Rattus norvegicus: one gene and its partner. The protein of the gene in region 1 interacts with the protein of each later gene in a biochemical or structural test. Links are inferred from orthologs where the notes say so. Each region holds a gene or a part of one and is shown on either strand. Other genes may lie near its edges.

Region 1 (4,384 bases):
CTCTCTCTCATGTGGTGGACTTAGGCAGGCCTCTGGGACACCAAGGTCAGAGACTAAGTCCCGGGGCAAGTGCCAATCTCCAATATCCCAGGATCCCCCAAGGTGGAATCTGAGTCTTCCAAGGCTTGCCTTCAACTGTCTGCCTCACCTCCAGAGAGGCTACTACTGCCTCCAGAAGATGATCCGTTCCGAAGGCCTCAGCTGTCACTGACAGCTGGTTTTAGAGGCAGGACAGGCTCTGTCTCTGCTTCCTCTGTTAGGACTGTTTTCCCAGCAAGCCCCTTCAACATTACCTTAAAATTAAAACACATATATCAGCAGATCTGTGTCCCAGTATAATTGGGCCAACACTTAACAGCTAGGCATGATGTGACACATCTGTAATAGCAGCACTCAGGCAGAGGTAGGAAGGTCAGAAGTTTCAGGCCATCCTGGACTACATGAAATCTTTTGTTTTTAAAAAGCTTCAGAAGCCAGAGGCAGCTTTTGTATTTGTCCACTTAAGGGAGACAGGAGCTGGGTCCTGCAGACTCCATACTGCCCACAGCAAGCTAAGCTGGTATAATAATAGTGATAATAATAATAATTATTATTAATCACAGCCAGGAGGTGGTGGCACATGCCTTTAATCTCAGCCCCTGGGAGGCAGAGGCAGGCAGATCTCCGAATTCAAGGCCAGCCTGGTCTACAGAGCTAGTTCCAGGACAGCCAGAGCTACACAAAGAAACCCTGTCTGGAAAAAACAAAAATCGAAAATCACTTCATTGTTATAAACTCACAAATATACTCTGTTGGATTACAGTAGTCACCCAAAAACCTATCCAGTCCCACTCTATATATCAACTTTTTTGTAGTCAGGACAGCCATTGGCTTTTATAAGCTCTTTTTTATAAGCTCTTACAAAAAAAGTTAAAACTAGACCAATTAACTAATTAACTTTATATCCATTTCACGACTACATGTGTTCCTTTTGCCTGAACTTCCTGAATCATCATTTCACAGGCGACTCAGCTGGCAATAGACTACAACTTAAAAAAACCACCGATTGTGCTGTAGCCTAGTGGCAGAGTGCATGCCCATCAAGTCCTGGGGTTCAAAGCCCATCGCAGAGAGGACGGAGGGAGAGGGGGACAGAGGGAGGGCGGTTGGGGGACATAAGCAGAAGGTGTTGGACAGTTGAGCCGCTCGCCTGCAAGTCGGAAACCTCATCCTGGAGGAGGGCGGGGTGGGGGGGCTTCCGGGAGATGGCAAAGCCCGACTACAAGGCATGCCGGGAGCGTGTAGCTCGCCGCTGCCTAGAGAATGTTAGTGGCTGACTATAGCCAGACTGCGTTTCCTGAAAGGGGAAACCCAAGCCGAGACTTGGCCAAAAATGCTTTCCAGAATGTGACGTATCGATACATGATAATGCGAGGAGCCTGGCTACCAGGTTCCTCGACAACCCGCCGCGTCGCGGGGAGCGCTAGGTTTGTCGGGAGGGCGGACAAGCTGGCCGGAAGTGCTACACCAGGGGCGCAGGGCCCTCTGGGAAGTGTGGTCCTTTGACTTGGCCCGGGCGGTGGCCGTGAGTCCTGCAACCTGGTGGCCTATTCGGCCTGAACCAGGGATGGCAGGCTCCGGAGGCCCCACTGGGCCCGGGGCCTTGACAGGAGGGGTGAGCTCCAAGGTGGCTCCGAGCGTGGACTTTGACCACAGCTGCTCAGACAGTGTCGAGTACCTGACGCTCAACTTTGGACCCTTCGAAACTGTGCATCGCTGGCGGCGCCTCCCGCCCTGCGACGAATTCGTAGGCGCTCGGTATGCAGTGTACAGGGGATCCTGAAGGCACTGGTAGTAGGGACGAGAGCTGAAGTTTTAGGACGGGCTCTAGGGGAGAGATCCCTTGTGATGTCTTGGAGTATGGATTGGTCATTCCAAGGCTGGGTTCCCAGGGAGTAACACCATAGTGACCCTAGGTAGGGTACCAGACCTGTGTTTCTGAGGATCCTGTTTGGGTCCCTGAGCTGTGAGGTATGAGTGGGAAGTCTCCGGTGTGTCAGGCGTCCTTGCTGTCTGAAGAAACTGAAGGATCTCTATAGATCTTAGCGGTTGGGAGGCTTTATCCAAACTTAGGTGGCAGCAGAGATGTGTAGTCTCATTTCTTGGGTGCCAGCCAGAAGAGTCCTAGTCTCACCACTCTTCACCCCTTTTATCTTTTTCTAGGCGCAGCAAACACACAGTCGTGGCGTATAAGGATGCCATCTATGTGTTTGGCGGAGATAATGGGTAAGTTTGCCTGTTTTGATGGTGGCAGGGGATGATGACAGAGAGACAGACCTGTTGTCTGAGAATGGGAGTTAGTAGCCCTGCCTTGTGAGCCTCTGTTTCCCCATGTGTGTGGTGCTTTGTACCTGATTCCCATGTTATGGTGAGGAAGATCCTACCCTTAAAGCCCTTTCACCCATCACTCAAATGGCAGCACGTGCTCAGTACGTGGGAATAAATGCCCTTGTTTTAGTGAGGAGATATAGCTTTGGAAGAAACACGTGTGCTCTTGTTGCTATCCCTGCCTGTCACTTTTTTCTTTCCTTCCTCTTGGGCCTAGAACCTGGCACTACAGCCTTGGTCCTGTAGATTACATGAGGCGGCTGACCTAGAGGCAGTGAGGTTTCAGGACTCTCTCTATTAGGACATGCAAACTTGGCTCACATCCGCAGTCTCTCTCCAAGAGCAGTTGGGGATTCATGTACAACTGCATGTCAGAGCGTGCTCCTCAGTTCACAGCCCTGTAATGTCCCCATCTTCTCTGTGTAAAGACCAGTCCTAATAGGAGGGGTGGCCTCCTTGTTAGTGCTGTCCTGTCTCTCTGGTGGCCTTGTATTTGGATTGTCCCCAACCCTCGCTACCCAGCCCTTGTACACTTCCGTCTCCCTTCTAATGTCCTCACGGATGAGGCCTTGTGTCCTCTTACCTCTTCCTGTGCCACTTGCCCCTGGTGTTGGCTGTGATCTGTTTTCATACTCAGTTCCCTACATCAGTGTCCAGATGTACCCATTTACGGAGTAAAAGAAAAGGACGAGCCTTAGTAAGAATTCATACACCAAAAAAGACTGGTGTCTAGCATAGGGTAGTGAGGATGTCAGGACCACTGTCCTCAGCTTCTTCTGGAGCTGGTAGACAACTGGTTGGTAATAAGCAGAAATGCTTTCTTTCAGTATGCAGTTTCAAAAGAAAAGGTAGAGAAAGTCAGTTACACATCTGTTTGCCTGTGACTTAGGATAAATCAGGGTGTCCTCCATTAAGAATGGAAAGATGAGTAGCAACTTTGGTATTAGAAGCTAAGAGCAAGGAAACCTGGCAGTGGAGATGGGGCCTGGTCAGTTAACTTAAATCCTTCAGGGTTACATCAGTGGGGGCTTCCTTATCAAACTGACTCAGACAGACTGTAGTCTCCTGGTTTTAGGGGAAACTGTTAGGTTTTGGGGTCAACACCAAAGAGATACCCTGCAAAAGCCTGGCCCTGGAGGGAGTGCCTCAGCTCCTGTTGGTTCTCCTTTCTTCCACATTAACAAGTTGGTAATATGCCCAACTTGCATATTAAATGCAAGCTGGCCCAGTGAGCAGTGGAATTACTTTTGATACAGTTGTTATGTCAGATGGCAGCCGAGGGAAAAGCATGCAGGTCTCCACCATTGTTTGAGACAGAATGTTGTCATTGTAGGGCAGCCTTGGAAGGAAGGGTTCAGTGCAGGATAGGACTTCTCGGGGCTGGGCGAGCTGCGAATGAGGACTCCAGCTCTGGGCCCTTGAGTGGGGTGCTGGTGGTGCGATCAGGCTGGCCTTGTCTGTGTGAGAGCCCTAGTTGCCCCTACCTAGTCACTAACTTTGAGCTGTGGACATTGACAAGTTGTCTGACAGGTCAGTGAGTCAGGTCCTTCTTGCTGCCTCCAATCCTAAGTGGATGCCCTCTCCCATCTTAAAGATCCTGGTGAGGTAACACCTTGCAATATCCTGGCTGCTGCAGCTCTCTCTCTCTGACTGCCTTTCAGGAAGACGATGCTCAATGATCTCCTGCGGTTCGACGTGAAGGATTGCTCCTGGTGCAGGTGGGTGGCCCCTGGGCTTCAGGACTCTGCCTGTCCTGGAGAGCAGCATCACTGGACCAGATTCACTGGCTGATAGAGTCAGCTCATCATGGAGGTCCAGGGAGAAATATAACAGATGAGAGCCTGGGATGGCTTCCCTTCTCATGGCTCTCTGTGAGAATGCATGTCTTAAGTTATCCCAGCTCCTGTGAGCTATAGGCTGTCTGGTCTAGTTGGTGGTAAGTAGTTTCTGACTTGGGAGGGGCCTTCAGTCACCAGAATGTCCTGGGCCAGGAGCTGCTGTGGGATCTCAGGGCATG
Region 2 (4,607 bases), on another chromosome or scaffold:
AGGACTTCATAAGAGATTGTAATAACCATGTCCCACTAAGAAGTTAATTGAAAAATTAGTGCATTTCATAAAAGATAAAAAATTTCAGAAGTCCAGGTGACTTGCACATGTACTATCTCCAATATTAGCATGTTCTGTGGCAGTTTTCTTAGTAAATTCGAGTCGTAGTAGCTGATGCACAGTCCAGAAGGTTATTGAATACTTCCCTAGTCAGAAAGACAGCTACTTTCTCACTTACCACAGTGGGAATTTACTTGTCTCACAGTGTCTAAATTCAGTCTTTCCACTAACTAGCTAAATACTTTACACAAGTTAGAACACCTCACAAGTTTATAGATAAAAATCAAAGAAGCAAAGACTGCCCTCTTTCACCTCCTAGGATCATACTTTACAAATTGTAAATCACTAAAAAAAGTGATGGCATCACCATTTAAATTTGTGTAAAGCTCCCTGCCACTTCTTAATGTAAAGAAACGAATGGAATCCCAAAGGCAAGCATTTCACCAGCGACTACATCCTAGCCCTCCTTCATTTTCCGCTGTAAGACAAGGGCCTCACTAAGTTGTGCAGGCTGTCCTTGCACCTGCTCTGTAACCCAGGCAGGTCTTGAACTGGAAATCCTTCTGCCTCAGAGTATGGAGTAGCATCTGTCCCCAGACTCAGCTTCCATGCTCTCTGTCATTTTCTCTCTGACATTTTTCATCAATTGAAACTTTTTGTACTCGTAGGAAGGTGGCGTTTTGATCAATCAAATCTCTTTCACTCTTTGCCCTTCTTATAGGTGAACCACACCAAGAAAGGACCATGTCAGTTTCCTCAAACTTGCCACAGATTATGAGATAAGGTATAGACTTTTCTCCAGCTGCTAACCTATCTTGGGGAATGTCAGGTTCAAAGTTCACATGTTATCAGTGCTCCTCAGAGTCAAGTCTTCTGGGTGGTAGGAACCACAACCAGGGTAAGAAATTTAAATGTATAGCCTTTTTTCCTGCCTTCCTTATACACAATAGATTGTTAGCTGTATATTACATTTTAGCAAATGTGAGCTAACGGCTTCTTAAGTTCTATTTTACCAGGCTCCTACAGTTCTGATCTCATGCTGTATATATTCACAATGCTTTTTGACGTAACAGGAGACAGCACAATGGAACACATTTTCAAGGAAAATGGAGGTTACTTCTGCTGAAAGCATCTTCCAAATTCCAGGAAAATTTCCCCATTTCACATGCATTCTATTAAAACTTCCTTTTACATTTGATTTAAATGGTTGAATATATCAAGTAACTTTGTATTTAGAATACCAGTCAAAATGGGTAAGCTTTTTGATCTTCCTCAAAGAAAAAAGGAGAACTACATACAGCAACTCAACTGACCTGTCAAAGTAAATGTATGAAGAATAGTTAGTACACAGGAGCTCTGCTTCACTGAGGTAACTCTTTTAACTTGGAAAGCAAACAAGAGTCATTTTTATGTTGAAGAACAACCTTTTTAGAGAGCGGTATACTACTACTAAAAAATTACTTGACACTTCCTAACAACTATTTAATCAACCTTCAATGTTCTAATGCTTCAAGAAGTAACAGAGACTCATCCGGGCCCTGTGACTTACTTGAGATTTCATAGCCATAGATTCCGAAGCACTACAAAATTCTTCAGAAGTCGTTTTTTTTCTTCTTTTTAAATTAGTACATGAAGTAAGGATATAGCTTAGTGAGTATAGGATTGCCTAGCAGGCCAAAGGACTTGGGTTCAACCCCCCCAGCACAGCCTAGAATGAGCATGGAGGCACACAGGCCTATAATGCAGCCCTGTCACTCAGGGGTGGAAGCTAGATAGCTAGATGATCAGGACTGCATGCTAGGTCTCAGCTACCTGAAGGAAGACCCATCTTGGGGTGCATTAGAACCTATCTAAGAAGATTGGGATATTACACATGTAGTACAGGAATTAACAAGCACTGTTGAAGAACAGCCCTTCCTGCTAGTCTTGGAGATTAACTAAAGTCTTCTTTGGTCTGGAAAACTTGAATCTATTGACAGCAACAGGATATACTACCTGATTTTTCAAGCTCTCTTTCAGGTTTTAATTCTATTATTCAACAGTTGGCCTTTAGTTAGTTAAGATTCTATGAAATGAAAAAAGTCTGACAATAATTTAAAGATCTTACTCATCAAACCATATTAAGCTTAAAAAAACTTAACCATCAAGTGATTCTATTTTTCTAATATGATCAAATTTTATCACCACATCAACATTCCAAGAAATCCAGAACAATAAAATATTTTCAAAAAATAACTTTGAAGGTACACGGTGGCACACATGTTCAATCTTAGCATTTGGGCAGCAGAGGCAGGTAGATGGATCTCTGTGAGTTCAGAGCTAGTCCAGTCTACATTAGTGAGTTCTAGACAGCCAGCACTACATAGTAAGACCCTGTCTAAAAGACACCAAACAACAGCAACAACAACACAATAACAAACAAACCCATAAAACAACAATAACAAACCTTCCAAGAGCAGATCAAATGCAAAGCTTTATTCTTAACTTTCACAAAATCATAAAATTATATTTATCAAAATGCAAATACAAGACACAGTTGGCATCTTGGACCTTATTCTCTGTGACATGTTCTCAAAAGAAGTGGGGTTCCTTGCACCGATGGTTCCCTATTACTCAGTTTAAAGCCTTGGAACTTAAGGACATCATATATAATTTTCTAACAAACATAAAAATAAGAGATATCTTTTTCAAACAAAGGATGACTGCCACCCTTTACAAATTGTACATAGAATATAAAGCAGCATTTACCTCTATCGTAGGATCATATTCATCCACAAAGTGATTCTGAATTAGCTGTATCGTCAAGGCACTCTTGCCTACGCCACCAGCTCCAACTACCACAAGTTTATACTCAGTCATTTTCAGCAGGCCTTATAATAAAAATAATAAAATATAACTAAATTAGAACATGTTCCACACAAGATTATCAAGTACTTTATCAGTATGTTAACACTCACCTTTGTCTGTAAAACTCTAAGGCATTCTGAATTCAGTGACTGCAGTTGTACAGAGTAACCCTTATATGACTGACAACTCCCTCATCAACACTTAATAGACCAGTCCTTTCATCTTCTATCATTAGCTTGTTTGATCTGAACAGCCAGACTACTCTTGTAGCAGCGAATGGCTCTCAAAGGAATGTATCATGGCTTCACTCAGTACAAGGACCCTGCACCATACTCTATACCCTGTGGCCACACCCGCAGGAGCTTGTTGACAGCTAGCTCAACACCTACCCTTGCAGTACTCATTGTTGGCTGGGCAGTAAAAGTTAGAAGTTAGAGAGCCTAAGAGCATCTTTGCCAACTGTCGCAGAAAACAGTTTTAAAGCCGTCAGTTCTGCAGTGATAGGCAACCAAATAGGAAGCTGGTGTTAAAACTGAATTGTTGTGGGGAAAGAAACATTTAGGCAATGAAGCAAATAAAGATATTTGGTAACATTTTAATCTATAAACTATCTGTGGGGAATGGAATTAACTATTTGGTGTAAGATCAGATGAATTATAACAAACATAATCCTTTGAGTACTAAAAACTACCTTAGTACCTCTGTACAAGAAAATAAAATTGAATACAATTCAGAATTAAAGACTTTTTTGGCAAGAAGAAAAATGTGAAGGAATGTAGAGATTCTCAGTAACCCCTGCGACTTGTGCCTTGTTTATAATACGCTGCACTCCCACCAGGTGCACTAAGCACCGGCAATTTATACAGTTAACAACCCCAGGTAGAACAGTTACTTTCTAGTCTGCTACTCCAAACAAAACTTTGAAATAAATATATTCACTTTATCTCCTTCCCCTTGATACCATATATTATTACAAATAAAGAGACACATGGATGAAAAGAATAGCATTAAAGTGACAACTTATTATACAGTAAGTAGTTCCAGGTCAGTGTAAGTATATATAGCGTAAACAAACACAAAATACAGTCTACTTATTGATGACCAAGAACTGTTCACACTGGTACCAAGAGGGGAAAATGCAGTTTGTTTTTCCAACTCCCTGTAGTCCTCACCCTGGGCCTGAAGCCCTCAGGAACAATACCACAAGGTCAGAAAACCATTGTCATCACACCTTCATCCAACTCCGGCCCTACTTCGCCCCACCTATCCTTTCTTGCTGCTTGTCAGGAGCCATCCGGTGAGCCATTAGTAACCTAACTTACCTGTGTGTCTTCAAGTTTTATAACAAATGTGGACCATGGCAAATGGGATAGATGAAAAGAATCACAAGGAAATGTGACCTTTGCCCCTCCCTCCTACAAACAGTGTGGCTAGTTTACAAGAGCAATTTTGGGTCCCTAAAACTTTGTGTGGTAGGGAACAGGATAAGGAGGTTAGAACTATTTTTACAGCAATTGCTTTTTAGCCTTCTTACTATTACAAGGACAATTGGTTCTCTAGGCCCTGTAATCACAATAAAGAGAATACAGATGCAGATGAGATGTAGATATGAAAGAATACAGTTATCTCCTATGAAGACACAATTAAACAGATTGCTAATGGGTAAAAAAATGCTACTTTAATTCTTTGTTCTAGAAAAA

What was found.
Region 2: the proteins of Lztr1 (region 1) and Kras form a complex in vitro, tested with the Homo sapiens proteins (2 studies listed by BioGRID, with this or other methods). The link is inferred for Rattus norvegicus from reciprocal best matches to the Homo sapiens genes LZTR1 and KRAS.

What each region holds. Positions count from the first base shown.
Region 1 is NC_086029.1:97,005,036-97,009,419, reverse strand, and holds the start of Lztr1 (leucine-zipper-like transcriptional regulator 1), read left to right. Parts: upstream 1-1,568; 5' UTR 1,569-1,606; coding exon 1,607-1,797; intron 1,798-2,202; coding exon 2,203-2,265; intron 2,266-4,028; coding exon 4,029-4,085; intron 4,086-4,384. UniProt on the Homo sapiens protein: Substrate-specific adapter of a BCR (BTB-CUL3-RBX1) E3 ubiquitin-protein ligase complex that mediates ubiquitination of Ras (K-Ras/KRAS, N-Ras/NRAS and H-Ras/HRAS).
Region 2 is NC_086022.1:179,943,252-179,947,858, forward strand, and holds the start of Kras (GTPase KRas), read right to left. Parts: upstream 2,920-4,607; coding exon 2,809-2,919; intron 1-2,808. UniProt on the Homo sapiens protein: Ras proteins bind GDP/GTP and possess intrinsic GTPase activity. Plays an important role in the regulation of cell proliferation.